Linked DNA regions of Danio rerio. The protein of the gene in region 1 purifies or fractionates together with the protein of each later gene. This does not show direct contact. Links are inferred from orthologs where the notes say so. Each region holds a gene or a part of one and is shown on either strand. Other genes may lie near its edges.

The links.
Region 2: the proteins of ppp6r3 (region 1) and ankrd28b purify together in Homo sapiens (co-immunoprecipitation; 3 studies listed by BioGRID and IntAct, with this or other methods). This does not show direct contact. The link is inferred for Danio rerio from reciprocal best matches to the Homo sapiens genes PPP6R3 and ANKRD28.
Region 3: the proteins of ppp6r3 (region 1) and ppp6c purify together in Homo sapiens (affinity purification with mass spectrometry; 10 studies listed by BioGRID and IntAct, with this or other methods). This does not show direct contact. The link is inferred for Danio rerio from reciprocal best matches to the Homo sapiens genes PPP6R3 and PPP6C.

Annotation. Positions count from the first base shown.
Region 1 is NC_133200.1:11,434,542-11,445,438, forward strand, and holds part of ppp6r3 (serine/threonine-protein phosphatase 6 regulatory subunit 3), read right to left. Parts: intron 6,372-10,897; 5' UTR 6,202-6,371; intron 6,092-6,201; 5' UTR 6,085-6,091; coding exon 5,858-6,084; intron 5,356-5,857; coding exon 5,169-5,355; intron 3,512-5,168; coding exon 3,374-3,511; intron 3,174-3,373; coding exon 3,108-3,173; intron 2,406-3,107; coding exon 2,293-2,405; intron 2,162-2,292; coding exon 2,048-2,161; intron 1,962-2,047; coding exon 1,832-1,961; intron 1-1,831.
Region 2 is NC_133191.1:21,399,610-21,411,242, reverse strand, and holds the start of ankrd28b (serine/threonine-protein phosphatase 6 regulatory ankyrin repeat subunit A), read right to left. Parts: upstream 7,255-11,633; 5' UTR 7,078-7,254; coding exon 7,051-7,077; intron 1-7,050. UniProt on the Homo sapiens protein: Regulatory subunit of protein phosphatase 6 (PP6) that may be involved in the recognition of phosphoprotein substrates. Involved in the PP6-mediated dephosphorylation of NFKBIE opposing its degradation in response to TNF-alpha.
Region 3 is NC_133180.1:32,594,576-32,605,997, reverse strand, and holds the start of ppp6c (serine/threonine-protein phosphatase 6 catalytic subunit), read right to left. Parts: upstream 7,550-11,422; 5' UTR 7,473-7,549; coding exon 7,398-7,472; intron 6,680-7,397; coding exon 6,584-6,679; intron 6,474-6,583; coding exon 6,408-6,473; intron 6,296-6,407; coding exon 6,154-6,295; intron 6,070-6,153; coding exon 5,990-6,069; intron 1-5,989. Other genes in the region: myo1hb (unconventional myosin-Ih), read right to left, coding at 9,460-9,486, 10,145-10,244, 10,352-10,449, 10,571-10,641.

The DNA.
Region 1 (10,897 bases):
TGAGGCGAATGATTTTAATAAAGATTATCATTGTCATTTAAAATATCTTTGTTTGTTTTATTGTTAAGCTACAAAAAAAGCCAACTGAATTCAAAGGTTTCATTTAAATGTTAATTGCAAATACGTAGATAGATACTTTGTAAAAATGTATATACAGCTGTCACTCAACAGATAGCGGGCAATGCAGAAGACATCTACGAGCAAATCAAGGTAAAATCAGGTGCTGCTTGACTAGTGTAACTCTATTCTGTTCTAAATGTGATTGATTTTACTGTAATAAGTTTAATATAAAACTTAAATGTACACTGTATTATTTAACACAAAGCTATGGTTTCTAGTTAAATATTTAGTGAAATATTTTGGTTTTTGGCCCTTTATAAATAAAAGTTTGGGCACCCCTGGGTGAAACCATTTGGGCAGAAAAAAATGATGATGTTTGGAGGTGTAACAAAGATTAATTGCATTTAATTATTTATAGAATTTATGCAAAAAATAAATAAAATAAATCTTACTTATAGTTTCAGTCTTATTTCCAGTCTAAATATCTACATCTACAAAAATACGATTACTTTACATAGCCAATTGGCCGATAATATTGCTTGTTAAGGAAGAGTCTTAATTTTGTCAAATTTCTCTAAAAATTAAAACAAATAAATATTTTTACCTTTTGATTTTTAGATATCTGGACTAAAATGAGATCCGAGAAGAAGAAGAAAAAAAAAGCGTTTTTTGCATTGCGATTATTCCATTTCAGTACATGAATGCTGTTAGACTCTCTAGAAAACTGTCAAATAGAACTATTCAAGCCATTTTATTAAATTTTTTCATATCGCAATATTTATTGAGGAAAAATAAATGTATGAGATTATTTCAACATCATATAGCTTTAATGTATAGAAGGGGTTGAACAACTTCAGATTTTTGAAAGTCGACTTATGTTATTAAAGTCGAATTGACGTCGACTAGTCACTGGTGACGTCATCAAAAAAACACGAGACGCAAATGTTTTGCAACATGCCAAAATTTGCTATGTATTTACAGGAAATACATATACACATGCTCTTTGACAGTTCATACCATGTTACAAAAACAATACATCATTACCAATGATCACTTTTAGTAGAAAACGAATGCACTGTAAACACAGCCTATTTCATTAATAACAACATTTGCATGTGGCCTAATTTTAGTGCAAAATAATTGCAGTCAACACATTGATCATGTCTCGTACTAATAAAAATGTAACAATAACAGATATATTAAGTACAAAATAATGCAAATATCTCATCAACAGGCAATCCCATTACTGTTCTAGTGTGTCTTAAACATGTTCAGCTATAACCTGTTCAAGGGTATTTGCATGGCGCAATCTAATTGGCATACACCTGTTTTAAAAATACAACTATTTTAAAGAAAGCTGAAAACCTGTAACCTCTTCCATAGTAGAAAAAAAAACAAACAATGGAAGTCAATAGTTGCAGGTTTTCAGCATTTTTCAAAGTTTCTTTTGTGTTTAACAGAAATAAGAAACAGGTAAAGGATGAGTAAACTATGACAATATTCATTTTAAGCGAACTATCCCTTTAAATAAATTTAAAGGGTTTTCTGAGTACATAAATACATCTTTAAATGTATTTAAGCTATGCACGCAAGACAAGCTGTTCTTTGAAAGGGTCCAAGACTCTGCCAGGTTATATTAGCACAGGCACAAAGTCTCGTTGTGCAGAGCTTAATGTAATTAGGAATTCGGAGATTACGTTCTAAGTGAGGTCAGCTGATATAATGTGCTAAAGTTTCGCCCGAACACATTTCGCAGTGTTTTCCCGCTCACCTTTGGGGGTTCGAGCAAAAGCTGGTGAAAATCTTTAAGTCTGGGTCTGACGGCATCTAGAATGCTCTGATTGACGGAGAACGACGGATGGTTCATTCCAGGGGGGCAAATTTCCAGATGGCCTTCAAATCTGAAAGAGAAAACTGAAGATTATGACATGAACACAGACCCAAGAAACCTGGGGGGAGAGAGAAGGAAAAAAAAGACTGCACTTACGCTGGTCTCCGTGTTTCAAAGAGGGTTAGAAGAATCTGAATTACACTGACTATGGCAGACTCGTTCTTCTCTTTGTCAAAGATGTTTGACAGCAACTGCTCTACTGTCTCTTGCCTGAATAGGAAGACAAACGGTCAATTCAGAACTTAAGCATTAGCCTGAAACTAGAGCTCAACCTTAATCCCTCCAAAAATGCCAGTTTGTGAAGTCACTAGAAAGACTGTTATAGAAACTGAGCAACTCACTTCTCTAGAGTGGCCAGCAGGGGATCAGGCTCCGAGCTGCCCTGGACCTGGAACATTTGATCTCTGCTCAGCCGAATGATCTCACATAGCGACTGGGACGCGTTTGAGTGTCTCTACGTGAAGGGAACAAGCAATTATTGTTACACGGCTAGCGAGCAGGGACAGCTTACCAGGATAGAACAATAGGGGACGGTCAGCCGTGCAACAATAGGAATACAACGATTAATATTACAGAAACTATTATAATTAATACTTGGTACTATTTGTATTTAAAAAAAAAAAAAAAAACTTTTAAAAATAAAGAATGTATTCACAAGATTACAGTCACAGCCAAAATCATTCATACCCTTGGCAAATTCTGACTTAATGTTACTTTTATTGATGGAAAACGACACGGGCTTCTCCCAAAAAGACAATAAGATGATGTACAAGAGGCATCATCGTGGGAAAAATATTATTTCTCAGCTTTAATTTATATTTGAACTGAAGCAGAGATAACAAATCACACACACGCTTTGGTCATGTTCTAAAATTACCACATTCTGGCAATTATTATTACATAAGCATTGTTTTTTTTTTAATATTCATCAAATGCCTTAAGGTTTTATTCATAAATATAAATAACTACATAATAACATCTTTTCTATACATTTATCAATTAATATTAGATTATTCATAACTAGATTTTTTTTCTTATAGATAGAAACACTTCCAATAACATTTTATTTTTTAATTTATAATTAAAAACACCCCACAACATAGATGCTCCATAAAATATACAAACAAAAAGTGATTGATTGTTTGAATGAACTTACATCCTCATCTTGTGATGGCTGTACCATATCAACCAGCCGCTGTATAACTTTCTCTTCATTTAGCCACTGCAGAAGAACAAATGAAGAGGACACTGTGAGATGCTGTTACAATGACAGTTAGTGGATTACATAAATAATCAGAGATTTCATTCAAATGAAACACGTCAATATTTACAAAACAAAAACACCAAACCCCTGTACCACAACAAGACCGACACACCTTTACAGCAAGCTTACAAATACTTATTAGGGGTAGAAGAACTCACATTTAATACATCTTGTCTAAGCTGCTGTGGCTCAATGCAGGTGAGCATCCTGAGCAGGAGGTCCATAATAGCCGAGGTCCCTATGTGTTTGATCATCAGATCCACAAAGTCTTCCCTCTTCCTGAGGAACTCCACGATCTAGCAGCAAACATCAGATTTAGCTCAACTTGATGCAGTTATGGGCTTGTTTATACCAGACACTAAGATTTTTCATAAACCTTATTACAAGTGGACAATAGACATGGGATAACCATTTCAAGGTATCCTTGTATATAAAACAAGATATAAAATATGTGTTCAAACAAAGGGGAAAAAAGCTTTTGTTTTTTGGCCAGACATTTAAAAAGAATATATTTTAGAGCAGTATAATCACAATACTGTGAAACAGTACATTTTTATACAAGGTTATCATACTGACAAATTCTTACAGCGGCCCATGCCTAGTGGACAAAGCTTAATGGAGAGAGAAACCACATCCAGAGGTGCTCAAAACTGCATTAGACCAGATTGCTTTGGTCAAATGCATTTAAATAGGTACAAAACATCTAATAATAATTTAAATATACTGACCAAACACATGGTTGTGCTCGCAAGACATTCATGTTAATACAAAGTAAAAAGAGTGTACATATTAGGCCCTCCAGGATTCTGTAAATGCTGATTATAAACTCAAAATTAGGCTAATTTTGCAAACTTTGTGGAGCTTGCAAATTGTTTTTAACTGCTGCAGACTTCTTACAATTTTTGTGCAGTCATGGCTTCGTTCAAATGATGCCAAAAAGCACCATCTGCATAACTGTATATTATTGTAAATATTGTAAATATTCATTTAATGTGCCAAACCATCAGGTTGTCAATACACACTTCTGCAATGTGCATTATGAAATTATCGGCACACACATTCAAAGCCTGTTTGTACTAGCCCACATGAGTTGTCAATTGCTAAACTTCTATATATTGTATATATCCAGCTTTCATCATAGGTGTAGCCTCCACTCTCACATTTCAACTAATAAGCATGTAAACGCATAAGAGTGCAAGCTCTGCATCATTTCCATTAATGTGTTCAAATAGCGGTAAAAAAAAAAAAGTAAAAACTTTGTTATTTATTTATTTTGTAATTATCTTATAATAATTTTATACTTTCTCTTTTGCTCTCATTGTCCGTGTACACCTTGCTTCAATTTTTCATTTTTGGCTTAGCCAGTTCCAAATTATGATTGTAAATGTTACTCATGTATAATATGCCTTTTATTTTATTTTATTATGAACATAAACATTTTTATCAATGTTAAGAGTGGTGGTTTGAGAGGTAGAGTTTTGAGTACCTTTTTGTAGTAAGCTAATCTCACTGTGATAGAGTACTTCCAACAGAACTGATATATGGTCAATTTTTTTCTTGTCAGGATTTGAGCGGTACTGTATGTATGTAGGTTTTTTTCTCAATGAAAAAAAAAAAGGGTTATAAAAAATAAATAAATTGCTGCCAAAAAAATAGACTACTTAGCATTTATTTTCAAACAATTGGTTTAATTTTCCAATATGATAGAGCAGGCTTTAGTTCGCTCAGTGTTTCCGTTATATATAAAAGAGATCAATGGTTCTTGAAGGTCAAAAAAAAAAAGGATTAATTTAGATGTGCAAATTTGTGTATATTTTCACAGCAAAACTATAATAAATTTATTATTAAAGGCATTTTTTTTTTTTGGAAAAATCAGAGTCATTTTAGTCACAAAAAAATTTTTTTTGGTCACAAAATTCTGGAGGGACTGGCATAACCTGTCTGGGCACGCACCTGCTCTGGTTTTCTCCCAATAAGTATGCTCAAGACTTTGCTGAAGAAACTGGCCAGCAGTGGGTTGAGCGGAGGCTCGTTCTGTAAGAAGCTGTAGAGTTTCATCAGTAAACTTTCATCTTCACCCAGCCTATCGTTGATCTGGCCAACGTCTGAGGTCAGGAGTTCACAGGATATGTTGGGATACCTTTAACACAACAATCCAAAACAACAATTAATAAATCTCACATGCTTCAAATTAGACAACAAACTAGGGCTGCACAATATATCCTTTCAGCATCGATATCGCAATGGTCACACTGCAGGATATGCAATGTTGAGCTTGTACTATAATTTAACAGTTGCATGTGTTTTTGAAGCCTGTGATTGTATAAAGATTAAAAAATTCTATCATTTTTAACGTTAATAACGAGTAATCTTATTTTCAATTACTGTACCTGAATACTGATAGACTTGGAGAACGATAAAACAGTTTATTTCAACTGTATCTTTTTCTTTATTGGATTCATAGTTTGCTTATTAGATTTTATGCAGATGCACTCCCACTGCATAATCAACCTTTCATAATAAATTCTTTTTGAATAGAGATATTAAGTCATCTGGTGAAATTGTATTCATGTCGCAGAATAAAAAAAGCGCCGCAATGTTCGAATTTACGCAGCCTTACAACGAACAGTCCAGATACTAACTTATATTTGATCTTCTCCTCCACGTCATCGTTCGGCTCCTGGGTGATGTAGACCACCAGATCCTCCATGCACTGCGGCCTCACCAGGAAGTCCACGAGCTTGTGGTTCTGAGCCTTGCACTCTTGCAGGACGTCCTCCTCGTCCATCACCTCGGTCAGAGTAACGTCATCCTTCTCCAGAAGCGTGTCGATGTGGGACGTCGAGTGCAGATCAAACTTCCAAAACATGGTGCTGCTGAAGAATGCAGAAATGCGAGTGGGTGGCTTTCAGATGCAGGAAGTAAGAGTGAAACAGAGTTGTGCTCATGCATTTGAGTATTCTAATAACTACCCCATAGGCTTTACCTGAGCGTAGCAGAGTAAAAACTCTGATTAAAAATAAAATAATGCTTGTGCTCTTTGGGACTTCTGGCCCATTACAGGCACCACAGGCGGTAGAAACTGGACAGACCTTTGAGTAAAGGACACATGCAGCAGGAATGTCCTCTGCCACAGCAAATACACTCAACACACACCTGAAAAAGAGAACAGACAAAAAGGACATTATACTCGAGTAAATGCCTTTGAAAGAACAGTCAAATGTGTCTCCTTTAACTCAAACAATCAAAGGTTAGTCATCAGCTTTGGAGCAATTCCATGCAAATGTCAATCTTGCTATGAAAAAAAAAAAAGTTTTCACCAAAATAGCGAAACCCTTTTCAAGTTTTTTTGTGTGGGCTTGTATTTTACAGTAGAGCGAAAATAAACGTCTCTGTCAAATTTTTTAAACAATTATATTTGATTTACCAGAGTCACAAAAGTGGCAATTTCACATTTGTCACATCCATAACAAAGATTTTTCCTAATAATTGCAAAAAAGTCAAATAAAATACAATCAATCATGTTTGTTCTATAAAGGACCAACTCTTATTCTTTTGATTAGCATTATGTATTTTGGATAGTGCAGTTTAATTCACAAAATTTCTACAAAGTATGTTGTGTACTGCAAACTTTTTTAGTCACATTTATAAACTAAAACATATAGAGGTAGTATCTGTGATGTAGGGCTGGGCAATTTGGCAATAAAAAAAAATCTAGTTTTTTTTTTTATAAAGTTTGACCGATTCACGATTCAGATTTTTTTTTTTTTTTATTGTGTTACTAGTCTTCTCAAAACATTACAACATGACTGAAGTAAAACTCTCTTTAAAAGTAACTTGAAAAATCATCTGGTTAAGGAACATTGTATTTTTAATGGCCATGTCATACAAAAATCGGTCAAGGTGTAAATAAATGTAAAACAAATTTACGAGTTAAATAGCGTTGCTGAAGATTTGAACAAGAAATATTTGAGTAAATATTGCAGTTGCAGGAATACAGAGGTATTGTTTGCAAGTTTTGCTGAGCCTAGGAAAGATTGGCTGTCAGCTCGGCTTTGACTTTGTCTTCTTCTGAATGTCAGGTTGTAATGCTGCTGCCTTTAAATTAAAAAGATACAGTGGAAGAAAAGGACTGAACATGGAAACTGTAAAGCCTAATTTAACCCAATGCGTGAAGTTGTGGACGTATAGCAGGAGCAAATACAAGTACCAGATGTGTGTCTAATATAAATTAATACAGTTAATCTATTTTTCTTTTTTCCCCTTTTAAATACCGATCCTTTGATGCGCTTTGCTCCACTCTCTGTATTATGCTGCCTGATTTGTCTGGTTTTCAACTAGGTCCGCTAAATGATGTCATGGGGGCGGGTACTTTCATTTCACTGCTACAGGCCCTCACCTCAACTCGTGTTCAAACCATAGGTTCAAACCAAAAGATCGGCGCAGTTTTTCACATGGCAGGCTTTTACGTCGTTCATACATGTTGAGATCGAGTTTATCGACTTGATGAGGGAATGTCTTGACAATCCACACAGACGTGACTCAGACTAATGCAACAAGTGAAATCCTACATGACTTCACGCTTTAACAGGCAGTCAAGCAGGTTGCACACCAGAAGCGCCGCGACACGGCGCGGACATTACAGTTCAAACTATCACACACCTAACGGCACATTCTCATGATATTTAACATGAAACTAATCAGATGGCACCTGTGTCCTGAATCGTGGCTGGGCGGCGCCGGTGTGTGTATAGAAACCTGTTTAGAATTCTAAAATCCATGGCGCTGCGCGGCGCCGAGAGGCGCTTCTGGTGTGCTTCCTGCTTCATAGAGTGAACCAAAGTGCATTGGTCCATTATAATGTATTAAATATATATATATATATATATATATATATATATATATATATATATATATATATATATATATATATATATATTTAAAAATCACGCTTTCTCGATTTAATTCAAAATTAAATCATCTTAAAAAGTAAATTCGAAAAAAATTAGAAAAATCGCCCAGCCCTACTGTGATGTCACCCGTAGATTTCTGAAGAGCGCAAATTAAGCTACAAGTAGGCGTGGCCAACTGTCATCATTATGTTTGCATGTCATCGCATGACCTGGGCTGACCAAAAAAGGGCAAAGAGGCGGAGCATAACATTTTGCTTAGACAGGCTTTTTTTTTTTTTAAGGAGAAATGCTTAATACTTCTCTACCTGCAACTCTTGTGTTCTGACCACATGTGCTGGGTTTTATATCAATAAAGCATTGTTTTCATGACGTGTTTTTCTACAGGAGGAAAACACGAATAACTCCCAAATACTTCAAACATAGTCCGTGTTAGTAAAAGCAAGGCTATGAATTCCAGGCATAACCGGCGAGGCCTAGCTGACACTCAAGTGGCTACGCCCTTAATTATGCAGACTTAATTAAAACTAAACGAATGAGTTCGAAATAAATTCACCACCTCACAGATGTCATAAAGGATAATATTAACAATATGCACCAAAACCATCTTTTGTACCAGGCTGTAAACATGTTTTTATCAGCTGTAAAATTGGCTAATTTAGCATTGCAGTCAGTGAATATCTGGACTTCCTGGAGCCTGCCCCCAAAGGAGAGTTGATGAATTGCAGTTTCAGTTACTTCCATATTGGCTTCACGAGGAAGAGCAGGAGGGTGCCGCTTGATCACATCCATGACGCATGTTTATTTTCATTTTTAAAAATATCAAATGTTTACAAATCAACATTTTTCTGATCCTTTGACTTTCTTTTCAGTAGTTTTAGAAAATATAAACAGGTGTTTCAATATAATGTTAACGCATACTGTCTCTGTGAATTTATGTTTTAAATTATTACTGCAAATGTCACAACCATAATGCTGGAGTTGCTCTTTGCTAACAGCTATTTTTAGTCACAGGCATGGCATTAAAAAAAAAACAAATAACAGAAGAACGAGATTATTTTCCTGTTTGTCATGCTCTTAAATGCTCAAAATTTAAACAAACAACCTCCAAATGTTAAATCTATTCTAACTCTATAAAGAGCATGATTTCATACAGAAACAGTGCACAAAAATGGCACTGACAAAACAAACAGTAGTTTTGTTTGTGGGGACACTGTATAAAAGGCAGCTGAGAAAACCAAACAAGTTCCTTGTTGTGACAACTTAGCAACTGAAAAAAAGAAAAGAAATACAGCTTCACTTTTACCAGACTACCTCTTTTAAATATTTTGTAATGATTACTATCTCAATCTGTACATGACGTTGCAGTTTCATTTTCCTTTTAGTAAGCGGTTCTTTCAAGAAATGTACATGTGATGTAATGCCTGAAATTAAATGATACCAGATTAAATGCAAAAGTCCATTTGACAGCTCTGGCATCGTATTATTATAGCTGGAGACAGCAGCACGCAGCGATGCATTATTAAAGATCGAGACGAGAGACTGTTTTTCCAGTCTACAAGGTGGATGGACTCGCACCACTGAGGTGAAAGGTTACAAAACGCAGGCAAGCAGCCATCTTGACTTTCATGAATGGCTAAGAGGAAGGAAAGGCTTATTAATAGATTAAGGGGGTTGGGTTAGGTTTACCCAAAAGAGCTTTGACATTGGCCTCCATCCATTCCCCAGCAAACATGTGTTGTCATTTTTTACAGATTTTAAAAACACTGATAAAACATTTTAGGATTTTTTTCAAAAAAAAAAAAAAAAAAAAAAACTGAAAGAAAAAGCTAAATGTGATATTGACATCACAAGTGAATTACCACACACAACTCACGATTTCCTGAAACAGTCACGTTTTAGTATTATTAGTAGCAGGTTCATTTGTGCTAGAATATCAAGCAGTTCTAGTAAACTCAGCTGTACGCACAGACGTAGAAAAGGGATTTAAGCATCAGAATAAGTGTAATCAATCTTTACTTTTTCCACACATGGGGTTTAAAAATGGGTCACATTTCACTTTTTCCCCTATAATGACTATCCTACATTGTTATCATGATTTAAAGGAGATAGAAAAACTTTAAGCATAGCAACAGTTCAAAATATCCAAAATATCTTGCAAAACACAATAAAAAACTGACACATTATATGACTATTAAAAAGAAAAAGATCAGGCAAAAACATTAAATATTTATAGTTTGCCATTAGCTTTCTAAACACTAAATTTGTTCGAAGAAAGAAGTTATTCATTTAATGCATATTATAATTTAGCATAATCACTTGTACATCTGAATATATATGGGCTGTTTATTTATTTTTATAAAAATATTTTATACTGCATGAGCATACTAAAGTAAAACATTACTTTTGTAAATTAGATGCCAAAATGGGGTGTCCCGTCTTTTATCTATATACAAATAATGAATGCTATTTAAAGTATTTTCAAATACATCAAATGACCTTCACAGATACTGGACGTTTCTACTATTTTAACCCTTTAACTACCTAATTGCAATACTAAATGTTTGTATTGCATTTCTTAACTCGTAATGTTGCTAGTTAACACACTCAATGCATTTTGTTTTCATGACATCCAATAATTTCTAAAATATTAACCTCTGCCAAATGGTTGACACGTCGATTTATGGTAAAAGTTCCAGAATGAATACATATACTATAAAAATCTGAAAATATGAAGTGTACAGACCAATTTATTCAAAAACAATCAAAATA
Region 2 (11,633 bases), on another chromosome or scaffold:
TTTAAACTGATGCGGCTTATGACAAAAAATTTCGCCAGTGTTCATCGGGAGAATCCTGCTCTGCCCCCCTAATATATTGGGTCAGCTAACTTGCCTGCTTTATGCTACAAACACAGAGAGATGAAAATCAGCACATATTGAGACTTAAAATGACACAAACCGAAACCAAGATTTTTCTTCCTTTCTTTTGTCCATTCTTTCCTGAGATGTATATTATTTTTCTGTTCAATCACTGATGACTGCTTTGCAGCTTTCAGCCTTAAATTGAATGGTTTATCATAATCTTTCATTTTTGTATTTATTATATTGACATGCATATAAAAAACAATAGTACAAAATAAATATTTCTTACTGCAATGCTTCATTTACGTTTGATGCAAACCATAAATTTATTTTCATAAAGTAACAACAGGACTTCATATAGCAGATAACTCACACTCAACACATTTAGGGCAGCATGATCATGAGAAATGTAATTCATTGTTAGTATTATTGTCATCATCATCGTCATAATAAATATTTTACAATTATTAGACATTATTTTGGAGTTATTGCACAAATATTCAACCATCATAGCTTTAGTTAGATAGTTGTTTCTGGTTTTGTTAGTCTTAATTAATGTTGTTTTCAAATACAATAAATCCCCTAATATACAGTTTGCAGTGGTGCTCATTCATTTTTGGTGGGTGCTCCTAAATTTTTTCTGGTGCTCCTAAATACTTAAAGTTGAAAGCACGGGTGTTACCAAGTAAAAAAAGTTAATTTCGAGCCCTGGTTTATATGATATGCGAGCGACCCATACAGCTTTACTTTGACCGAGATTTCATCGAGCGCTTCATAAGGTTAAGGCAGTGGAAACAAGCCTGATAACGGTGACCCACACTGACACGTACTGTACTAGTCAGCGGAAACAGGCCATTAGGTAAGGAGAGATCTCCACTTAAAGGTGCAGTAGGTGATTGTCTTCAGAAGCATTTTTTGTTGTGCTCGTTGAAAGTCTCTTCACAGTCCAATAGTAATGATTACAGTAAATGATCTAAATGTGTTTATATGTATTTTTATATTCTGGCTAAAGCATAAAACTAAAAAATGTTCATCCAATTAAATAGAGTTGGGCCGACATCTCCCATAATTCCGATAAGCAGGTCAGACTGTCTGTCAGCATATGTAGATTAGGACTTCTGCGCATCTGTTCACGCAGATTCGCAATTAGCGCCAATGCATGCGTTCGAGCAAGCTGCGGGCTGCTCACCGATGCAGAGTCGGAGGCGCCGAAGGACAGACGAGCTCGGGCCGATTACTGTAAAGCCAGAGTATTCGCCCTTAAAGCAGCCGTGCGGTCACGAGACAGACCGGGAGAAATCAAATGGTGAATTGAAACTTTTAAAAACCTGAATCAATATTAGAGTTACTTTAGCACGCGGGAGGAAGGACAACACCATGGCTGAAGGATTACTGTTAGACAGGTAAAGTTGTTTTAAAACATAGTCAGGCTAAGCTTATGTTAGATTGTGTTGTGTTATGAATGACTTATATGCACAGACGTGTTGTTCAGCCACTGAAACCTCCCAGTGAAAGATAAGATTGATGTGATTATTTTCAGTTTCATAAGGTCCTTTGACAGCATCTATAATGTAGATTTATATTTAGTTTAACAACAAAACATCAGTAAATAGCGCTATTCCGCCTAACTGCTTTATTGAGCTGAAGTTGCATATATATTTACATTGGGTCATTTTTTTAAAAAATGACAGCCTTCCTATACTGTTTACCATGCTACTCTGAATATTCGCTCTGAAATAGCATGTAAGTGTGCCTAAGTAATAAAAGTAATTCCTGCACGCCGCTGGCCAAACACTAACTAACTGGCGAATGACATGAACTAGTGGGTTGTCTGTCTGCTGTTGTGACGCGGTGCATGCGCTTGCGATTTCAGGGGGTGTGGCTTTGAATCACAGTCCCTCCCCGCAATCCAAAGATAAGATGCTAAGCGATTAGCATTTTGGCAGATCACTTACTGCACCTTTAAGTGTCATACTTGTAGGCAAAATGTGCTTTGTGCATTATATAGCTTGAAGCATCAAAATCATTACTCTATAGATTAATTACCATGTTTTTAAACATTCAGGATGCGCGCGCAAAGAGGTGGCAGAAAGAAACCGGGAGCGCTAGCATTTACAGCGAGGTAATGACATCAGATGCGGTGCAGAGTTTGTTGTTGTCTTAGAAATAAGATATATTGATTACATATTATATATATTATTTATACAGTGATAAACACAGTGATTCTGCAAAATTAACATTAAAGTGAGCGGTGTTCATCTGACAGGTCCATTTGCGATAGCACCCACCCAATGGATATTGGATAAGACTAAATTACCAAGCATCCAGCCCCAATTATACAATCTCATTGAAGCTCCAAGTGATTTTACAAGAGAGAAGTTAAAGGTCTACTAGGGCTGCTCGATTTTGGAAAAAATCAATCACGATTATTTTGGTCATAATTGTAATCACGATTATCAGTTGAAGTCAAAATTATTAGCGCTCCTGAGAATTTTGTTTTTTTAAATAACTATTTCCCAAATTATGTTAAACAGAGCAAGGAATTTTAACAGTATTTCTTCTAATATTTTTTTCTTCTGGAGAAAGTCTTATTTGTTTTATTTTAGCTAGAATAAAAGCAGATTTAATTATTTTGAAACCTATTTTAAGGTCAATATTATTAGCCCCCTTAAGCAATATATTTTTTGATTGTCTGCAGAAGAAACTACTGTTATGCAATGACTTGTCTCATTACTCTAATTAAGCCTTTGAATTGCACTTTAATTTAAATGATTGTATTTTGAAAAACATCTAGTAAAATGTTATGTACTGTCATCATAGCAAAGATAAAACAAATCAGTAATTAGACATGATACATCAAAACTATTGTGTTCAGAAATAAGTTTAAAAAAACTTCTTTCCATCAAACAGAAATTGGAGGAAAAGGGTTGCTAATATTCTGGAGGGCTAATAATTCTGACTTCGACTGATAGTCCTTCAGTCAGGAGCAGTAAGGGATGTTCTCATCGTTTGATTAATGATAAAACAGGCGGCAGCATTTCGCACTGTAACTTTAATGGTTTTTCTTTCACGTGTCTTTTGATTCTCAACTCGTTTGTTTATTACACAAATGAGGGTTAATATGAATAATCACTAATCGCCGCGTTTTGACACCTATTTGACCATTAAAGCACTCATGTTAAGATTACTTTAGATGTCTGCGCTCCTCTGCTCGTCTCAGTGTGCGAAGGAGACCGAATGCTGACCGCGTGCTTATGCGTGTGTGCGTGTTGTACACGCACATAAACACGCGGTCTTTCGCGCTTTTGGTATATGATGCAATAATCGTTTATCTCGATTAATGGTTTTTCATAATCGTTAGAAGCCATAATCGAAATCGAAATCGGATTTTCGATTAATTGCACAGCCCTAAAATCTACAAGTCTTTGGATGCCAACAATGATGTTCTGTGTGGTCATGTGCAAGAAATAATGCTCCATGATGACCAGATTTAACACTATGTAGAGCTAAAAGCCGAGATTCTGCCAAGCCAAAGACAAGGAAAGAAGATGGAGTTAACGTAACACAAGGCCTGGGTAATTAATCACCGACACACAAAACGACTGCATTCTGACACTGGACTGCCCCTGTAGGGCAGGGTATGTGAACCTATAGAGGTAAAGTCGGTTTTATATTCGCACATTCGGACTTTCTCCTTAACGATATAATTTCATAAAAATATTATTTGTAAACTCTAAATAGCGAAATCATATCAGCAGCCAATGACTATCAATATACAACATTGTTCACAGTCAAATAAACAGTCTTAATGTTGTTTTCAAGTCACACTTGCAGGTTATTTCAGACCGAGTATTCAAAGTGCCGTGGTAAACAATATAGGGAGTGTGTCACAAGTTCTCACTGAATGAATGTGTGAATATAAAACCAAGTTTACCTTAATAAACTTAACTTTCACGTTTCATTCTTAGTATTCAGTGTCCGCAGTTTAATTAACCAGAAGTAACTGTTTTTGCTGAAAGCATTTCTGCAATCAAAAACGAGTAATGCGTGTGATTCAGCATAGTGTGAACTTACCTGATATGACATGAAAACTGCAGAGTCTAGCATTTCTAATTAGCTCCTCACTTTATTCAGCTCCCATTTATGGTCTGTTTCCACTGAGTGGTACGGTACGGTTTGATACACTTTTATGGCTGTTTCCACTGTCAAAAGGCATACAGAACCAAACAGTACCGTACCACTTTTTCGGGACCCTTTCGAAAGGGTCCCAAACTGCAGAAAGGGTCCCAAAAGGTGGAGCTACACGCGCAGCTGAACGCTATTGGTTTACAGGGATACGTCATTCGTAGACTCAACAAGCCAGAATGTAAACAAAGGACCCGCCATGTTTAAAATACACAGCGAGAGATTACAGCGGAATTATAAATACATATGCAGCCATGGTCAATCCTGCAAACAAACCCTGTCGTCGTCATGATAAACAGCCACAAAGCCATGAAGAAGAGCAGGTTCACCCTGTGCCGTGAAGTTTTTAACGAGCCAGTCTGAAGCCCGAGTGGTTTCGCTTTCTTTCTTGCGCTCGCCGCGCGTCTCTATCTGAAATAACAAACTTCTTGATCTAATAATAATAACATGCACTTGATTATTGACAAGCTTTGGAAACCTGATCCTGTGAGAAGCTGACACATTCAGAAAGAAAAGGACAAACGCGAGAGTGGAGCGCGGGAAAAAGGCGAAGCCAAGGAGCACGTTATTTCTTCAGCAAACGTGAACAAACTGCCTTGTTTTAATCTTTATTATCACCTTTTGGACTATTATAAACTGGGAATGATGGAATGACTCTCTAACAGAGGCTTCATGTGCTGCTGAAGATTACAGACACAAATGAGAGGTTTTCACTGACTGTAGGCTATACTTTGTGTTGTTTTGAACCTAATTAACGACGAAATGTCTGCTTTGTGTAGTTCTTCTGTAGTTGGTAACATATCGGAGACTGTAAGGGTCTGTATGTGTTCATATAAGTTCATTTATTTATTTATTTAATATAATTATAGATGTTACAGAAGGCTATTTCGCACCATCATTGATCTGCAGTTATAATCAACTACTGTTTATAGAAAAGTTAGTAATAAACATTTACACAAGTATTTATGTGTGTAAAGCATCTGTTTTTTGAGAAGTGCTTTTCATATGATATGTGAACGACCTGTGCAGCTTTATTGTAGACATTTTCTTGAGCGAAAATGACGTCGACTGAAACTTTGTCATACACCACGCCCACCAAAAGGGTACCCTTGGTAGTGGAAACGCAAGCCTGATAAAGGTGACCCGTAACGACCCGAACCATACCGTACTGTACCAGTCAGTGGAAACGAGCCATTAGCCAAAGACGTCTGTAGTCGGTATTAAAGCAGTGTGTGGTGTATGGTAAAAGTTAAGTTTTCTATTTTTGGACTCAAATTTTTTTTGTAACCGGGAACCTGTGTGACGTCATGTGTGATGTAGGTTGGTAATTGCTCTATATTGGACAATCACTATGAATTGGTTATACCAGTACTTTGTATCAGCTGCAAAAACCCTGATCCGAGCATCCCAAGTGCAAAGACCGCAGCTTATACCAGAAAAGATATGCTGCCAATATTTATTTTTTAAAATGTCAAATCCCAGCAGTCACAGTTTTAGTTTGTTTATTTATATTAATGAGTTATTCTTTATTTTGTATTATTATTTTTTATTAATTAATTAGTTATAGCAGAAAATGTTATATTTTACAAAAAAAAGTGTGCAGCGTTTAAGAATAAAATGAAAGTTCTCTTGTTCACCTTAAATTAGTTTCAAATAATTTTGTTTAAAAATCATGACTAAAACCGTATGGTGAGCTTAGGATCATGATATCGTATCATCATATCGAATTGAGTCAAGTGAATCATTACAATCGTTACAAGTTAAATGAATTTTCTAATCATTTAATTGAACATCTTGTATCAATATTTAGTACTTATAAGCATTAATCAAATAAATGAAAATGGTTACATTGGTTCAAAAATTTTTTTTTTTAAAAATACAAAAAAAAATATATATATATATATATACACATGCACAAAATAAACCTGTAAATGTTAAATAAACACATTTAAAAATGTAGATATCCAGAGCGAAGTAGTAATATGGCTGCTTTATAATGGCAGTAATCAAATAAAGCAACTTTGGCAGTGTCATGATTACAAAGGTCAAATTTCCAAAATATATGACATCTCTGCTACACTTCTAAGGTCACTCTAAATTGGAATCAGCACCATGCAAGACACCTCGCTTGAATAAAGACAGTCAAGTTTACATTAACTTATATGCCAAAAGCAAATTCACCATCACACTCTTTCAATTGCTATTTGAATTATTCTACTCTCTGGGACCAGTGACCAAGTTTGTCCATCCCTGAAAGACAGCCATACACCTGTCGTGCACTCTGAAAAGTTGTCATATAACAGACTGTCGTGAAAGTTATCGCTGTAATTAACTTTAAATCCAGCAATGAAAAAAGGCTAAATCAACTTCTATATGCACTTTTACAGCCAGCAATGCAAAGAAATGTTAACCATTTAACCTCACGAAGCCAACTGTTGCCTTATCATGTACACAACGATAAAACTGTAGATTTGTGCGACTTAAAATTACACTTATCATATTACAGAAGGCAAAATTAGTACACTTAATAGCCTGTGATCTGATAAACTAATATCGTGGCTCGCGCACATTTAGCTTAGCAACTACTAGCCACAATCCCAATGGACGAGAAAACACACACCCAAATAAAAACGTTTCAAATTATTATTCTATTACAGCGAAATGCAGCGCGTATTTACTCTGTTAAACAGCTTTCATTCCGTGGTATCGGATAGTGTGATCGTCTGTGATGTTGTTGGGCAGTTGACTAGCGTGTTAGCACTTGTTAGCCGAACTCGGCTAGCTTTTTCTGACATCACTTACCTGGTCTCTGATTTTGAGAACCACCATGTTTCGATGCGCTCGTTGGCTCTCATGCAGGACTAAACGTAATGTATTCACCACCACCACTTGAATGCTGATTTTTAAGAGCCGGTAAAACTAGCGTATCCAGTAGGCCTGGGTCTCCTATTTGCCACTGATGAGCAGGGGAGAAAACTCCATAACATTACCGCCACTGCTACCTCTGAAAAAACGAACACGACGATTGGTTAGACGGCGGTTCGAGCGAGAGTAAGAACAACAGTGATTGGATAATGGGGGAGACGCTTGCATGTGAATCGTACAACGTTGTTTTGTGTGTGTGTGTGTGTGTGTGTTTGTGTGTGTGTGTGTGTTTGTGTGTGTGTGGGAGGGCGCTGCAGCTTATTTTCAGAGAAGCGTGTGCTTCTCTATCGCAAAGTTACTTCCTTCCACTGTTTAACTTACATTTTTACTGTTACACTGTTTTTTCGATTATTTTTAAAGAGGAAACAAGTTTTCCGACTTTTGATGACACTAATGAACTATAATGGTAAATGCAACTTCTTCTCACCATCCACTATTTATGAGTTGTTGTTGTTTTTTTTTTTTTTTGCTTTTTACAAGAACCAGCACATAGTTTTATTATACAACAAAATCACTTTATCAAATTATCAAATTGCATATGAATATATAGCACACATTTTCCAATTTTAGTTATTAACACGATTTATTAAATTCACTTTTACTACAGGAAATGCATATATAGAAACATTTAATACAAAAATGTTAAAAGAGGAGCGTACAATGCATCCAGAAAGTGTTTATAGCACTTCGCTTTTTCCTCATTTTTTGTTACAGCCTTATTCCAAAATTTATTAAATTCATTTATTTCCTCAAAATTCCACACACAATACCCCATAATGACAATGCAAAAAAAAATTTTTTTTTTTTTTAATTGTTGCAAATTTATTAAAAATAAACAAACCTGAACAATCACAAGTAAGTATTCACAGCCTTTGCTCAATACTTTGTTGATGCACCTTTGGCAGCAATTTCAGCCTCAAGTCTTTTTGAATATGATGCCACAAGCTTGGCACAGTTGTCTTCTGGAATTTTTGCCCATTGCTCTTTGCAGTACCTCTCAAGCTCTATCATGTTGGATGGTAAGTGACAATGTACATTTTTAGATCTCTCCAGAGATGTTCAATAGGGTTTAGGTATGGGCTCTGACCGGGCCACACAAGGACATTCAGGGAGTTGTTGTGAAGGAGTTGTTGTGAAGCCACTCCATTGATTTTTGGCGGTGTGCTTTTTTTATTCAGGATGTTTTTGTACATTGCTGCATTCATCTTTCCCTCTCTCCTGACTAGTCTTACAGTTCCTGCTGCTTAAAACATATCCACAGCATGATGTTGCCATCACCATGCTTCACAGGGATGCCTGGTGATGAGTGGTGCCTTTTTTTTTTTTTAAACGTAACACCTGGCATTTACTCCAAAGAGTTAAATTTTAGTCTCATCAAACCAGAGAATTTTGTTTCTTATGGTCTGAGAGTCCTTCAGATGCATTTTAGAAAATTCCAGGCAAATAGTGGCTTTAGTCTGACCACTATACTGATTGGTAGATTGCTTGCACAGATTGTTGTCTTTCTGTAAGGTTCTCCTCTCTTTACAGAAGAATGTTGGAGCTCAGACAGAGTGACCATCAGGTTATTGATTCCCTCCCTGAGGCCCTTCTCCCCCGATTACTCAGCTTAGATGGCCCGCCAGCTTTGGGAAGAGTCCTGGTGGTTCCAAACATCTTCCACTTACGGGAGATGGAAGCCACTGTGCTTATTGGAACTTTTAGAGCAGCAGAAATTTTTCTGTAACCTTCCCCGCCTTGTGCCTCAAGACAATTCTGTCTTAGAGGTCCACAGACAATTCCTTTGTCGTCATGCTTGGTTTGTGCTTTGACATGCACTGTCAACCCTGGGACCTTATATATGCAGATGTATGCCTTTTCAAATCATGTTCAATCAACTGAATTAACCATGTGAACTCCAATTAAGCTGCTGTAAACTTTTACAAGTATAGCAACTATGTAATATTTTTGTAAGTGATTTCTTTTACTTTGTTGTCAAATAGGGGCCACGTGGTGGTGCAGTAGGTAGTGCTGTTGCCTCGCAGTAAGAAGGGTGCTGGTTTAAGCCTTGGCTGGGTCAGTTGGCATTTCTGTGTGGAGTTTTTATGTTTTCCCCGTGTTCGCATGGGTTTCCTCTGGGCGCTCAAGTTTTCCCCACAAGTCCAAAGACGTGTGGTAGGTGAAATGGGTAAGCTAAAATTGTCCGTAGTGTATGTGTGTGAATGAGAGTGTATGGGTGTTTCCCAGTGATGGGTTGCAGCTGGAAGGGCATTCGCTGCTTAAAACATATGCTGGATAAGTTGCCGGTTCATTCCGCTGTGGTGGACCCTGATGAATAAAGGGACTAAGCCGAAAAGAAAATTAATTAATGAACGGGTTAGCAAATATTTATGTGGAAGATTCCAAGTAGCATCCCAATTTATTTTATACGTGGCCAGACATTTAAAAGAAGAAGGTGGAATTGTTTTGGTTAAAATAATTCTGCATTATACGATTATTGAATTTGTTTTCAACTATTGATATCCCTTCTATCGGTAGGATCCAAATTAAAAGTTTGTACTCCTTTCAATAAAGTTTTTAAATGGAAATGGCATTAATTACTGTGTTGTATACTGAGGGTTCAAAATTGAGCTTTTTTAAAAACTAAGAAAATAAATATAACTTACCAATGCAATGCTATCTAATAATTGACTATTAAATCAGTCAAAAAATATTCTTGAAAAATAATAATTTGTTTTTGTAGACAATACTTAGGTTGTTCCAAATGAAGCAGTGGTGAGGAGAAAAAAATGTGTTCATGAATAACCATGATAAAACTAATACAAGTAGTAGGCTAGTATTCATTCTGTAAATTAGACGTAGACACATTAAAATTATATATTTAGCCTTTATTAATTTCTGGCAATTCACTTTATATATGGCAAAGTGAGACACTTCAAAATTCTGAGTGAGTATATAGGCTATCTAAGTGTAAATTAACACTAAAATAAGAGAAAACCATGCTCGTATTGGTCTCTTTTTCATTGAGTCTTCTCTTTGCATAACAGGAAATACACACAAATGTTTTCATAAGTCTGCGCTGAAAACAATGAAACCGGTTCCTTGTATTGTGCCTTAAAAGGAGCTCGGCTGATAGTTTCTAGAGAAAATGAAAGTTATCTTAGGGGATAGGAATTAGATTCATTTAACACATGATACATGCAGACAAGTTTAAGTTTTATTTGAATAGGTACAAAGACAAACTATTCTGAGTCTGACGTAGGCCTACATTTGAACAAGCGCCAAATAAACACGGTAGAAACAGACTATTTTATCAGTGTACACCAGATGACGCTAAAGGTTAAAGCTAACATTGCCTACTTTTTGATGGCTGCTAGGAGGCGAGAGAAACAGACATTCAGTCTGGTTCTTGACAGGCGACTTGAAACTAGGTTATTTTTTTTTCGGCTTAGTCCTTTTATTTATCTGGACGCCACAGCGGAATGAACTGTCAACTTTTCCAGCATATGTTTTATGCAGCGGATGCCCTTCCATCTGCATCACACACACGCACACACACACACACACACACACGCACACACACACACACACACACACACACACACACACACACACACACACACACACACACACACACACACACACACCACACACACACACACACACACACACACCACACACACACACACACACACACACACACACACACACACACACACACACACACACACACTACAGCCAATTTCAATAGATATTAAATCACATCATTATTTAGCTGCACAACAATCTTTATAGATTGCAGTATCAGATAATAATGATGGATATAAGTCAAATAGTCATCTTATATTTTAAATGTTTATAAAGAGGACAACAACAATGCCATTGGTGTAACATAAAGCATGTAAATGTAGCACTAAATGTAGCCTAACAATAAATGTAGCCTTCTTTTAAGATAAAAGTTTAACTTTTATACATTTTAATAAGTACAGGACAGAATAAGTATGTTTTTGTTATTTTAATCCATATATTTGTTACACTGAATGATGTACAGTGATGGAACATTATTTCACACATATTTTATTTTCATCAAACTCATTTGTAATTATAAACATACTCATTTAAAATGTTTTATGAATAGAAAGTTAGCTTTGAACATTGAATAAGGGTGGTTCTACAAACAAATTTAAGTTGTGGCCATGTTTACCATGTCTACAAGCAGATAGATATTTTGGTTTCATATCTGATCATTTGTGATGTCATGTTGTAGACCTGGTGCAGTGCAATTTGAGCTATATCCAATGCTTTTGAATGGATTCACCTAACATCTAACCCTACCCCTCACACAGTGATGTCACTAGCTCCATTTGAGTGCATTGTGTCTGGGATTGCAAGTGATGCAGTCTCAGCTTGCATCATAAAGGCTGCATCCAGATACTATTGGGGATGTACTACCACATTTATAGTATTTTTAATAGGTTGGC
Region 3 (11,422 bases), on another chromosome or scaffold:
TGAGTTATTTTTTTTTTCAAACATATGGTAAAAACAACAACAATAATCATAATATTATGTGTAGGTCTACAGGTTTCTATAAATAATTATATTCTACTTATCATAATTCTGATGTTGAATTATGTTTGAGATAGGCCTATGCTTGCAAACTGTCATTGGCCCCTTTCACACAGTGATACCGGTAAATATCTGGAAAATTTCCGGAACGACTTTACCGGTATATTCAAAAAAGCGCTGTTCACACAGGCGAGGACGTTACGGAAATTTTCCGGAAAAGAGCATTCACACATCCATTCCAAAATACCGGTAAATTCTGACATCATTCACCACAAATGAGCTTTAAACGGCTGCGCTTGTATTTGTAAACATTTGACTAAATTACAAACTCTGTGGATGATCAATATTGTGAACAACTTTCGCAGGATCACTTTCTCATGTCGAGATGTTCATAATATGTGCGTGTGCAGGCGCTCACAGGCTGTTTCACAGGCACACGCAAAGCTTGAAGGTAAACAAACAACGGCTTATCATAAGAAACTCATCGATGATTATTTAAACAGTTGGCATAAAGAAGATCATATAAACGTGATCTTACAAACTTCTAGCAGCTAAATGTGTCTGGAAAAATATCCAAAGGCTTTTATTCTAACAAACCGCGCGGGTGTAAATGCGTCTGACTGTTGTGATTGGCTAAAGCAGACGTCTCACGTCAGCACGTTCTAGACGTGCACGCGCTTATTACGGCAATATTCCTTCTGCATTCACACAGCGCAGCATTCCGGCAAATTGCCGGTAATGTTACAACTTCTCTTTCCGGAAAATAGCCATAACGAATTTACCGGTATTTTCAAAAGGGACCTGTTCACACATATAACCTTTCCGGAAAATTTCCGGCAATTTTCCGGAAAGGTCTGTATAGGTGAAAGGGGCTATTGACAAAATAAGACCATAAAATTCACTGGTAAAATCAACATTATATAGGCTAGAGTAGTTATACTGACACTGTAAACATTTATTTTCATGCACAACTGTGTGTTCGCTATGAAAGAAAAAACATCAAATGCTTGTCGCAATCATAACTCTATAATGCAGTATGAGTATTTAAATGATGTGCACACTTTCAGTTTCATTTTCACTGCCGTGTGCTGTTCATACTTTGCGTGCAGCTCTCAAACGATCACCCTGTGCCTCAAACTGAATATTATTTACAACTTTATTACCTGTTACTCACAGCCTACACAGGTTCTGTTCACTAAAGTAGACGTGTGCGCGTCTATCATTAAGTAGAGCACGCACCCACTCACTCTGTGGTAACAGCTCACGGTCAGCAGCTCACGTAATGTGTGATTTCCCAGCCGCTATTACAGCATTATATGAAGACAAAAATGAAACTTTTAGGTGAATTATACCTTATAAATATGTAGTCAGTATGTGATTCTTTCAACATTATTTGGAGGTGTCCATGTCGCTGAGCAATGTATGTGAAACAATGAAAAGACTCTTGCAGCCACCTTTGATTTTCTCCTGAACTTGAAAATATGATTGGCAAAATCGTAGAAATGCTGGATTAAGATCCTCTAGGGGGTCGAATCGAGATCGCAATCTTTTTTCGATTAAATGTGCAGCTCTAAACTGTACCTTTAAAAACTCAAGTACATGCACAGAACAACAGAAGCATTTATAGAAAATAAACATAAATACCCCGCTCGCTTTCTAAGCCTTGTCTAAAGAGTTCTTTCTTACACCCCAATGATTAGTCACACGTTTAACAGAAAGGGCTGCGATTGGCTCTAACGCTCTGCCATCACAGCTGATCCATGATAGACGCAGAGAAGAAAACTCGCTGGGCAGACACACGCTTGTGTCTTTTTCCAGAAGTATCATATTTCCAGAAGAACATCAACAGCCAAGAGGAGAGGAAACTATACCTCATGACAGCAGGTCAAAGGTCCACAGCAAGAGTAAGAAAAATGGCGTTTACTTTTATTTTCTCCAAAATAGTGAAACATGGGCTTCTGCTGCAAGTGTCAATAAAAGAATGTCCAGCAAACCCACGTGCAGTGAATTGTGCACAATTTCTGCGTTTTTACGTAGTTGGAACATTTTAATTACTCGCGCTCGCCTCTCTCGCCATAGTAAGCTGCGGCGACATAGTGCATAAGAGATAAATGGTGCTCCCAACTTCAAATATTTAGGAGCACCAGAAAAAAATTTAGGAGCACCAAAAAAATTTAGGGGCACCATTGCAAATTGTATTTTAAGGGATTTATTGTATTTTAAAACAACATCAATAGGACTAACAAAAACCAGAAACCAATATCTAAGTAATGCTGTGATGACTTACTGATATTTGTGCAATAATTCTAAAATGAATGTCTAATAATTACAGAATATTAATGATGATGAAAATGACAATAATACTAACAATTAATTACATTTCTCATCATCATACTGCCTTAAATGTGCTTAAATGCAAGTTATCTGCAGTAAAAGTCTGTTACTTTATGAAAAATAAATTTATGGTTTGCATCAATCAAAAATAAAGCATTGCAGTAAGAAATATTTATTTTGCCCTATTGTTTTTATGCATGTCAATTTAATAAACAATATTCCTGCTACAAAACAAATGAAAGATTATAATAAATCAGTCAATTCAAGTCTTAAAATGTAAACAACTTATAAAAAAACATCCCATAATGTAAATAAGTTGTCACTTAATAAGCATCTGTGAATAACTCAATTTTGACAAAAATATCATATAGATAATTCTAAGGTGACAAAGTGTCGAGACCTGTAAAGGACCACCAGAAACGGTTGTTTTGTTTATCTTATGATTAAAGTTGTTGCACGTCCGCCGGTTCCTGCATCAAAATGAGCTAGTTTGAGCTGCTTCTACATCAGGGGCAGGGCTCGAAATTAACTTTTTTACTTGGTAGCACCGGCGCTCCCAACTTCAAATATTTAGGAGCACCAAAATAAATTTAGGAGCACCAGAAAAAATTTAGGAGCACCCACCAAAAATGAATGAGCACCGCTGCAAATTGCTTTTTAAGGGATTTATTGTATTTTAAAACAACATCAATAGGACTGACAAAAACCAGAAACAACTATCTAACTAATGCTGCGAGGACATTGATATTCGTGTGAAATAATTCCAAAATGAATGTCTAATAATTAGGCTATAGAATATTAGTGATGATGAAAATGACAATAATAGTAACAATGAATTACATTTCTCATTATGATACTGCCTTGAATGTGCATGAATGTATGTTATCTGCTATAAAATGTCTGTTACTTTATGAAAAATAACTGTATAGTTTGCATCGAACAAAAATGAAGCATTGCAGTAAGAAATATTTATTTTGAACTGCTGTTTTTATATGCACATCAATTTATTAAATAATATTTCTGCTACAAAACAAACAAAAGATTATAATAAATCATTCAATTCAATGATGAAAGCTGCAAAGCAGTCATCAGTAAATAAATCAAAAATAATATACACCTCAAAAAAAGAATAGACAAAAGAAAGAAAGTAAAGTCTCACTTCTATCACTCTTTAAAAGTTTTGGTTTCAGTTTGTGTCAATTTAAAGGTTCAGTCTGAGCTGATCTTCATCTTTCTGTGTTAGTGGAAAAGCAGGCGAGTCAGCTGACCCAATTTATGAGCAGGCAGAGCAGGATTCTTGCGATGACCACCGGCGAAATACCGCTCTTTGTTATGAGCCGCAGTTTCAGTGTAAACTTAGTAAAGGCGAGCTTCTTTGGCGATGATATGTACAGTATTAGATTTGACTTTTAGCGGACATTTGCGCTGAACACGCAGTGAATGCGACGCATGGAGATTCGGGCGCCTTCTCCAAGAAGCGCGTACTCAATTGATCTCAGCTGGTGGATCATTATTCACCACGTGACGTGTCATGATCGCTCTCATCTGCACCTCAACTTTAGGTGGGGTTTGCAAACCTGTGTGCTTTAAGTCTTTACTCTTCAGCCGTTTGCATTTCCCGTGGTCATAAAAGCTCCTTTCCTGTCATCTGACAGCGGAATACCTTGAGTGAATGAAAGCTAATATGAACCAATTTAGCGGCAGGGAAGAGCGATTCAGCACGTTTTTACAAAAAATCAAAACAGGTCGCACTACAACCATTATCTGCAGTCGCACTAATGCGCCCAAATATATTATGAGGTCGCATAGATTAATTTTCGGGCGCATGTGCGACCAAAATGGGCGCAATTTCGAGCCCTGAGGGGTCTCAAACTCGCGGCCCGCGGGCCATTTGCGGCCCTCAGTGCAATATTTTGTGGCCCGCGCCGACCGCTGTACACTGACAGAATCAGCGGAGCGGGGAGAGAGAGCGCTCCCCGCTCCGCTGATTCTATCCGTACACAGCGGTCACTGGCATTCCCCGCCCGCCGTGTAAACAAAGGGGCGGGGATGCCGGTGAAGTCACCACGCACCCCGCCCCTTTGTTAGACGCTGTGACGGGCGGGAAGTGTTAGGAGGGAACTCGCGCCGGCCAGAACCAAGGTAAGCTGTTCCAGCCCCTGCCTGCCACTTGGCTACCTATCTGCAGCCTGCCACCTACCTAGCTACAGCCTGCATCTTATATATATTATAGGTAGATACAGACTGGTACAGACTGATGTGACTGGAGTGGGGTGGGGGTGTTTTATTTATACATATACGCCTTTTTTTTAGGTGAGGGAATGGAAGTTTTGAGTGAGTTCCCCCAAGCCATACTGAGGGTCTCAACTGCTTCCGCTCTAAAGCCAAATGTGGTTCAGATTTGTGAGAAGAAGCGCTGTCAAGTCTCTGGCAGCAAGGAGTAGGCAAAAGATGCCATGTTCAGAAGAACTGTTCATAATCTTCACTCAATGTTCTATTAATGTTCAGGACACTTCATGTTCAGAAGAAATAATTAAAACTGTTAATAATGACATTTGAGGACTTTTTTTTGTGAAATCCCTTATGCGGGCCAGCCTCACCCAGACTTTGCCTCCTGCGGCCCCCAGGTAAATTGAGTTTGAGACCCCTGTTCTACATTGAGGTAGCGAAAAAAAAAAAAACAGTGAAGAAACTCGACACAGAGGAACATAAAAACCTCACTGCCAGCTAGCGTTTCGAAAGAGTTATTACAGAGCAACACAAACAGCGCGCATAGGATAGTGTAGAGGTTATCGGATGCACACTTCACAATCTCACTGGAAGCAAGAGGTGTTCCAAGTACTTCTCGTATACTGTTTTTTCCAAATAATATGAATTAAGACAAACTGCTCCACTTACATGTTGATTTTCCACATAGTATATAATAGGGAAATATGCGATTTCGGACACAGCCCTATAGTCATGACTATAAATTCAAGATCTTGGGTGCAAGTGGTCGAAATTAACTTCCTCCGCAGAGAGGCAGGGGGTACCCTTATAGATGGAGTGAGGGAGCTCTATCACTTAGGAGGGACTCAGTGTAGAGTCGCTACTCCACATGGAGAGACGTGGCCAAGACATCTATTTTGAATGCTTCCTAGAACTGTTCTGGACTTGTCCCACCAGGAGGAGGCTAAGGGGAAGACCAATGACTCGCTAAAGGAACTGTCACTCGCTTGCCTGGGAATACCTTAAGATCCCCCAGTGGAACTAGAGAAAGTGCCCAGAGAGAGGGAAGTATGAGGTTCTCTCCTGAGACTGCTGCCCCAATGACCTAGCTCCGGATAAGCGCAAGACAATAACTGGATGTATAGTTTCCTACATTTCTTTTATACCAATTCATACTTAGAAATATAAACAGTTTCATTAATCCAAAAATTATTTGATTTAAACAAAAACATCCTAAAATTATTTGATTTAAACAAAAACATGTGTTTCCTGAGTGAGGCCCATTAGTAAGAAGACCAAAACAAATATTGATAATGTTGAGATGTGTGATTGATAGATAGACAGACAGACAGATAGACAGACAGATAGGTATTCCAAAATCAACACTTACGGCAGCAACAGTGAGCATGTCGAATACTTTAGTGCAGTATCGCCAGGCATTAGCATTTCCATATTTAGTTTGGCACTCATCTGTAGACAGAAAGCCAAAACAATTAAAATCCCAAGTAAATTCAAAACAAAATATTTCAAAATCTCTGATTTCTGCAGCCTTACCATAAAAGCCATAGACCTGTGTAATCTGCCTACTCTCGTGATTGCCACGCAACAGTGTGATGCGGTCAGGCCACTTTGCTTTAAGTGCTAGCAAATATGTGAATGTTTCTAAGCTGTAATATCCTCGGTCAACAAAGTCACCCTGGATGAAAGAAAACATACCAATGTCTCCTCAATAGATGATGGTGGAACAATTTCCAACGCAGTACTAATCACAAATCATCAATTAAAATTATTGTTGTAATATACTTCACCATGAAAATGTAGTTTGTATCTGGTACTTGGCCCCCAGTTCTAAAGAGTTCACATAGGTCATAAAACTATTTATAAAAGAAAAAAAAAAGCTTAGTCAGTATGCATGTTTTTACAAAAACACGACATCAGCTCAACATCAATACCAGGGATGCATTAATGGAGCCTGCACACACACCTGTCCATGAATGTCCCCGCATACAGTGACTGGAGTGGATACTGGCTGTACATTTGATTCCTCAAGCAGAAGGTCACATACATAGTCACATAATCTCTGTCAAAGCAATAGAAATGAAGACAAGATTTGAACAAGTTTGTCAAGTGAATGCTATCAACGATGGTGACAGAAGCAGATCTAGCGGCGCATCTAAGGTCACATTTATTAATTTAAAAATGAGCTTTTTTTCCTAAGCCACATTATTTCAACATCGTATAATCATTTGTTTGATCACTGTTGCTATTTTTGTGTCATATTTGGCGGTACTGGATGAAACTGGTAAGACGTTGCATTGCATCATTATGAACTGATCCAGAAGCCCAGTTGTTTACGTACAAGAATTATATTTAAAAACAAACGAATGGAGGACGATTTAATCAAACCTGAAACCTGCTAACAAAGACGCAGATGTCATGAATTAAGATTTAACAAGGTTGATGATGGAAAGCATAAAATGGGCGTTTCAAACTAGTTCGCATGATAGCAACAGAAGTTAGCCACCCTATGTGTCCGCAAGAAAATAGTCCCTTACACAACTTTGTTATGCCCAACTGTCCTTACGGTCGTAACGTTATATACGATTATTTCTGAAAATACGAATGAAATCAATCCCGGAACATAAGATAATAGACTGGACTCATACGCAGCGACTGCATTGCACTGACACACTGCTATTTTAACACCTTCCGCCACAACCAACACGAGTTTATAAATACATCAATCGCTAGCATGTCCAATATTCTAAGAGAAACATAAAATTACTCAGATCAATCACCTTTAAGTCGTTCTCTGGTAGATATTTGCACTGCCTCGCAATTTCAACATACTTATCCAGGTCCAACGGCGCCATTTTAAGAACAACAGTCGATGGAAGACGCGAAGAGGAAGTCTTTCTACGTCACACAGAGTGGTGATGATTGACAAGATGATCAGCCAATCGCAGGCCAGATTTTATATGGAACTTGCAAAGTCGTTACATTCTGTTCATCGCGTTCTCAAAGTAAACTTGAAAAACTAATTTAGCAAGAGCCTGCTTATTAAAAAAAGTTTTTTTTAAAGTGATTCAATTGCGGTTGCTTCCATTCGGCTTATTATAAAAACATTCTCAAGTTACTGACTGACCACGAGGTGGCAACAGAGGTTTGCTTGACGCGTAGCCTTCTCTCCAAAAGGTGTGTGGTGAATTTTCTTTTCTTTTTACATGTCATTTTGGGGTTTTATATTAAAGAAAAAACTATTTCAACTTTTTGTAAACCTCATATTATTTATTATAAAGTTTTTTTTATTCATAAATGTAAATATACTCAATGTAAGCCAAATGAGAATAACAACTGCACTTGAAAACCACTACAGACTCTCATAACAAGAAAGCAGTTAAAACTTATAAAATATGTGCTTTATTTGATATCCTGCATTAATTTGTCTATTTTTTTCATGTGCCCTCTCATCTATTTTTGTTTCTTCTTTGTCTTTCTTTTGCTTTACGTTTACTATATTTCTTTAAAATTGTCCCTTTTCTCTTGTTGAAAAAATATTTATATTATTTGTGCTATACTTCTATCTGATTGTATTTCAGTCTTTTAAAATTGCCTGTTGTTATTGCAATAAAAAAATGAATTAATAAAAAAATGATTTCATACATTACTTTTATTACATTGCTTTTATTTGTATGCTTTAGTTGGAAACATCAGGAACCGTCCACCAAGTGATGACCACTGCAAATAGTTTATACAATAGATGAACTGAATTACCAAGAGAAAAAAGACATCACAAATTAAAAAAGTACAATACATTATTATAAAAATGAGTCTACCGTCTTGATTTCATTAAGTTACATATATTTCTGCTGCATTTTAAGACAACAGCCAAACAAATTTCAATGGATTGTTCAGATAAAGCATGACAACAACTGGCTGTCCAGGAATTACTATCAAACATATATCATATTACAGCTTACAAATATTACATATGTTCTGTATCTCATATTAAATGGCATTTTATATTTGAAACTTTATTCAAATTATGTAAATACATTGTTTTTTCTCATGTGTTCTGGGCATAACCAGCTTACGTGTATGTTTGTCAATGCAATGAAGCTGGCATGTTGCATGTTGTCAGGTTTTGGCAGTATGGGAGATAAAACAAAATACAAATACAAAAATGAGCACAGTATAAGTTTTTCTGTCATGATACCCAATGTATGAGATTAACAAGTAGGCTACAGCACTTCATTTGGACAATTTTTTTTAAAAAAAGTTCCGCTTTAAAGCAACAATTAACATACATTTTGTCCATCAGAAAAGTGCACAGTTTAGCAAGCTCAAAGACAAACTCAATTCCATTTGATAAGAAATATTAGTCCTTTTCATGAAATGCTGAATATTTATAACAAAATATGAGTTTATAAAAAGCACAACAAAACAATGTACAGTAAACAGCTAAAAATACAGAATTTAAACACTTCAAATTATACAAACGAAACAAAACAAAAAAAAACAGAAGTCCAGCTATTTTAATACACCAGCTCAACTTGTTGACTTTTCTTCTTAATAAATGTGAATGGTAAATGTGCGTACGTGAATAAATTGTTGAATAAAGTTTTATTATTCGTCCCTTGAAGAATAAAGTCATTTTTAAAAATATTCTAAAGCAGTTTTACCCAACTCTAATCCCTTGAGGAACCCTAAAAGCACATATTATGCCTCCCACATGTGATTCACATATTTTGTTTAGGTCTAAATGTTATTTTGTTTCTTATTGAGCTGATGAATGTATTAATTTGTGTGCCTCCATGCATTACTGTTCCACTGTGGAGAAGTCTGTGAGGTAAAACTTTGTCATCGAGATTTTGTTCGTGCAGATTCCTGCAAAAGAAAACATGTAAATATGTATAAATGATCACTGTGAAGGGATGTCAATTGTTTTATTTATTGAATTATTTATTAACTACACTGCATGATATTATAGCTTAATTAATAGCATAGTATTATTATCATATATAATGATAAACATACAGTTGAAGTCAAAACTATTAGCCCTCCTGTGATTTTTTTCTTCCCTTTTTCAAATATTTCCCAAATGATGTTTAAATATACACAAATATATATATATATATATACACACACACACACACATATATATATACACACATTATATATATATATATATATATATATATATATATATATATATATATATACACATATTATATATATATATATATATATATATATATATATATATATATATATATATACACATATACATATTATATATATATATACACACACACATACATACATACATACATACATACATACATACATACATACATACATATATATATATATACATATATATATATATATATACATATATATATATACATATATATATATATACATATATATATATATATATATAAAATCTGGCTTAATCTGTAGTCACAAAAAAACAGCACTAAATATGTATTGTTTTATAATATGTGTATTATGTTATTTAGATTGCATTATGTAGACCCACCACCATCAAGTGTCCGTTCTTGGCTCTATAGACCATGGATTCACTGCTACTCTTAAAATCAACAAAGCCTTCTTTCCCAGGCTGGATGTCAAACCTCACGCTACAAAAACAACAATGAAAAAATTCACTGTATGTAAAACACATTCATTTTAAACACAACAAATATTTTCTCTGTGTATTTGAGGCTGTTTAGACAAAATATCTCACCTCTCTTGTACAACTTTGATGAGGCTGCGGTTCTTTGTCACTACACAGATTTTTGTCAATGCCTCAAACAGATAGCTGCACTGCAAGACCAGGTCTCCCTTAAAAAATACATTATATTTCAGTGATATTGTAGGTTATATATATATATATATATATATATATATATATATATATATATATATATATATATATATATATATAGTGTTGTTATTCACCCACTTTTTGCTTTGTGTCTTCACACGCGACATGGAGTATCAGGAAGTTGTCACTTAAGTTGCTGACAGACACCCCTGTTAAAAGCAAATATTTATTATGTAAATAAAATTTTTGACAAGGAAATGAACTTGACTACAGACATGTCTTAATTTACCCTAAAGGAAAACAAGGCTTTGAAAGACAGACACTGTCTTCACAATGACATGCACTACATCCAGTCTTCTGATCAGTAATTGTTTTTAATTTTTCAATTGATTTCCACTTTCTAGAAAACTGTTATTGTTAGCATAATAATCAGTACAGTATTTTAAAAAACAGTACAATCCATAGAACTCACATTCCCCACAGCCTCATTTTCATTACTGTAAACAAATAGATTTATTTTTAACATTATGCTTTGTCTACTGTACTGGTTAATTTAGCAGTGACATGTTACAGGACTGTTAAAAGGATTAAAATAGGACTAAATAAACAACATAGTCTGAACAAAACAAAACTACATCAAGAGGTATATTTACACATCTCTAAATGAAATATCAAATTCTAGTTTTATATTCCACTAAACCATTTAGTTTAATAGACATCTTGGCTAAAACAAGGCTGAATTTGGCCTGTCATTGAAACTCTAATAGAAAACTAATCTATTTTTGGACTGTTTTTCAAAGTCAGATAGATTTTAACTGGCAGCCAAAATGTAGCCATGTTGTAGGCAAGACAGAAGAAAAATTATTGCTGGATATTAATATTAATAATATCAAAATATCATACATTTATAAATAAAAATACCCATGGATTATGAATTAATTGGACATTTCACACAATTTGAGATGTTTAATTAATGAACAACACTGAAAT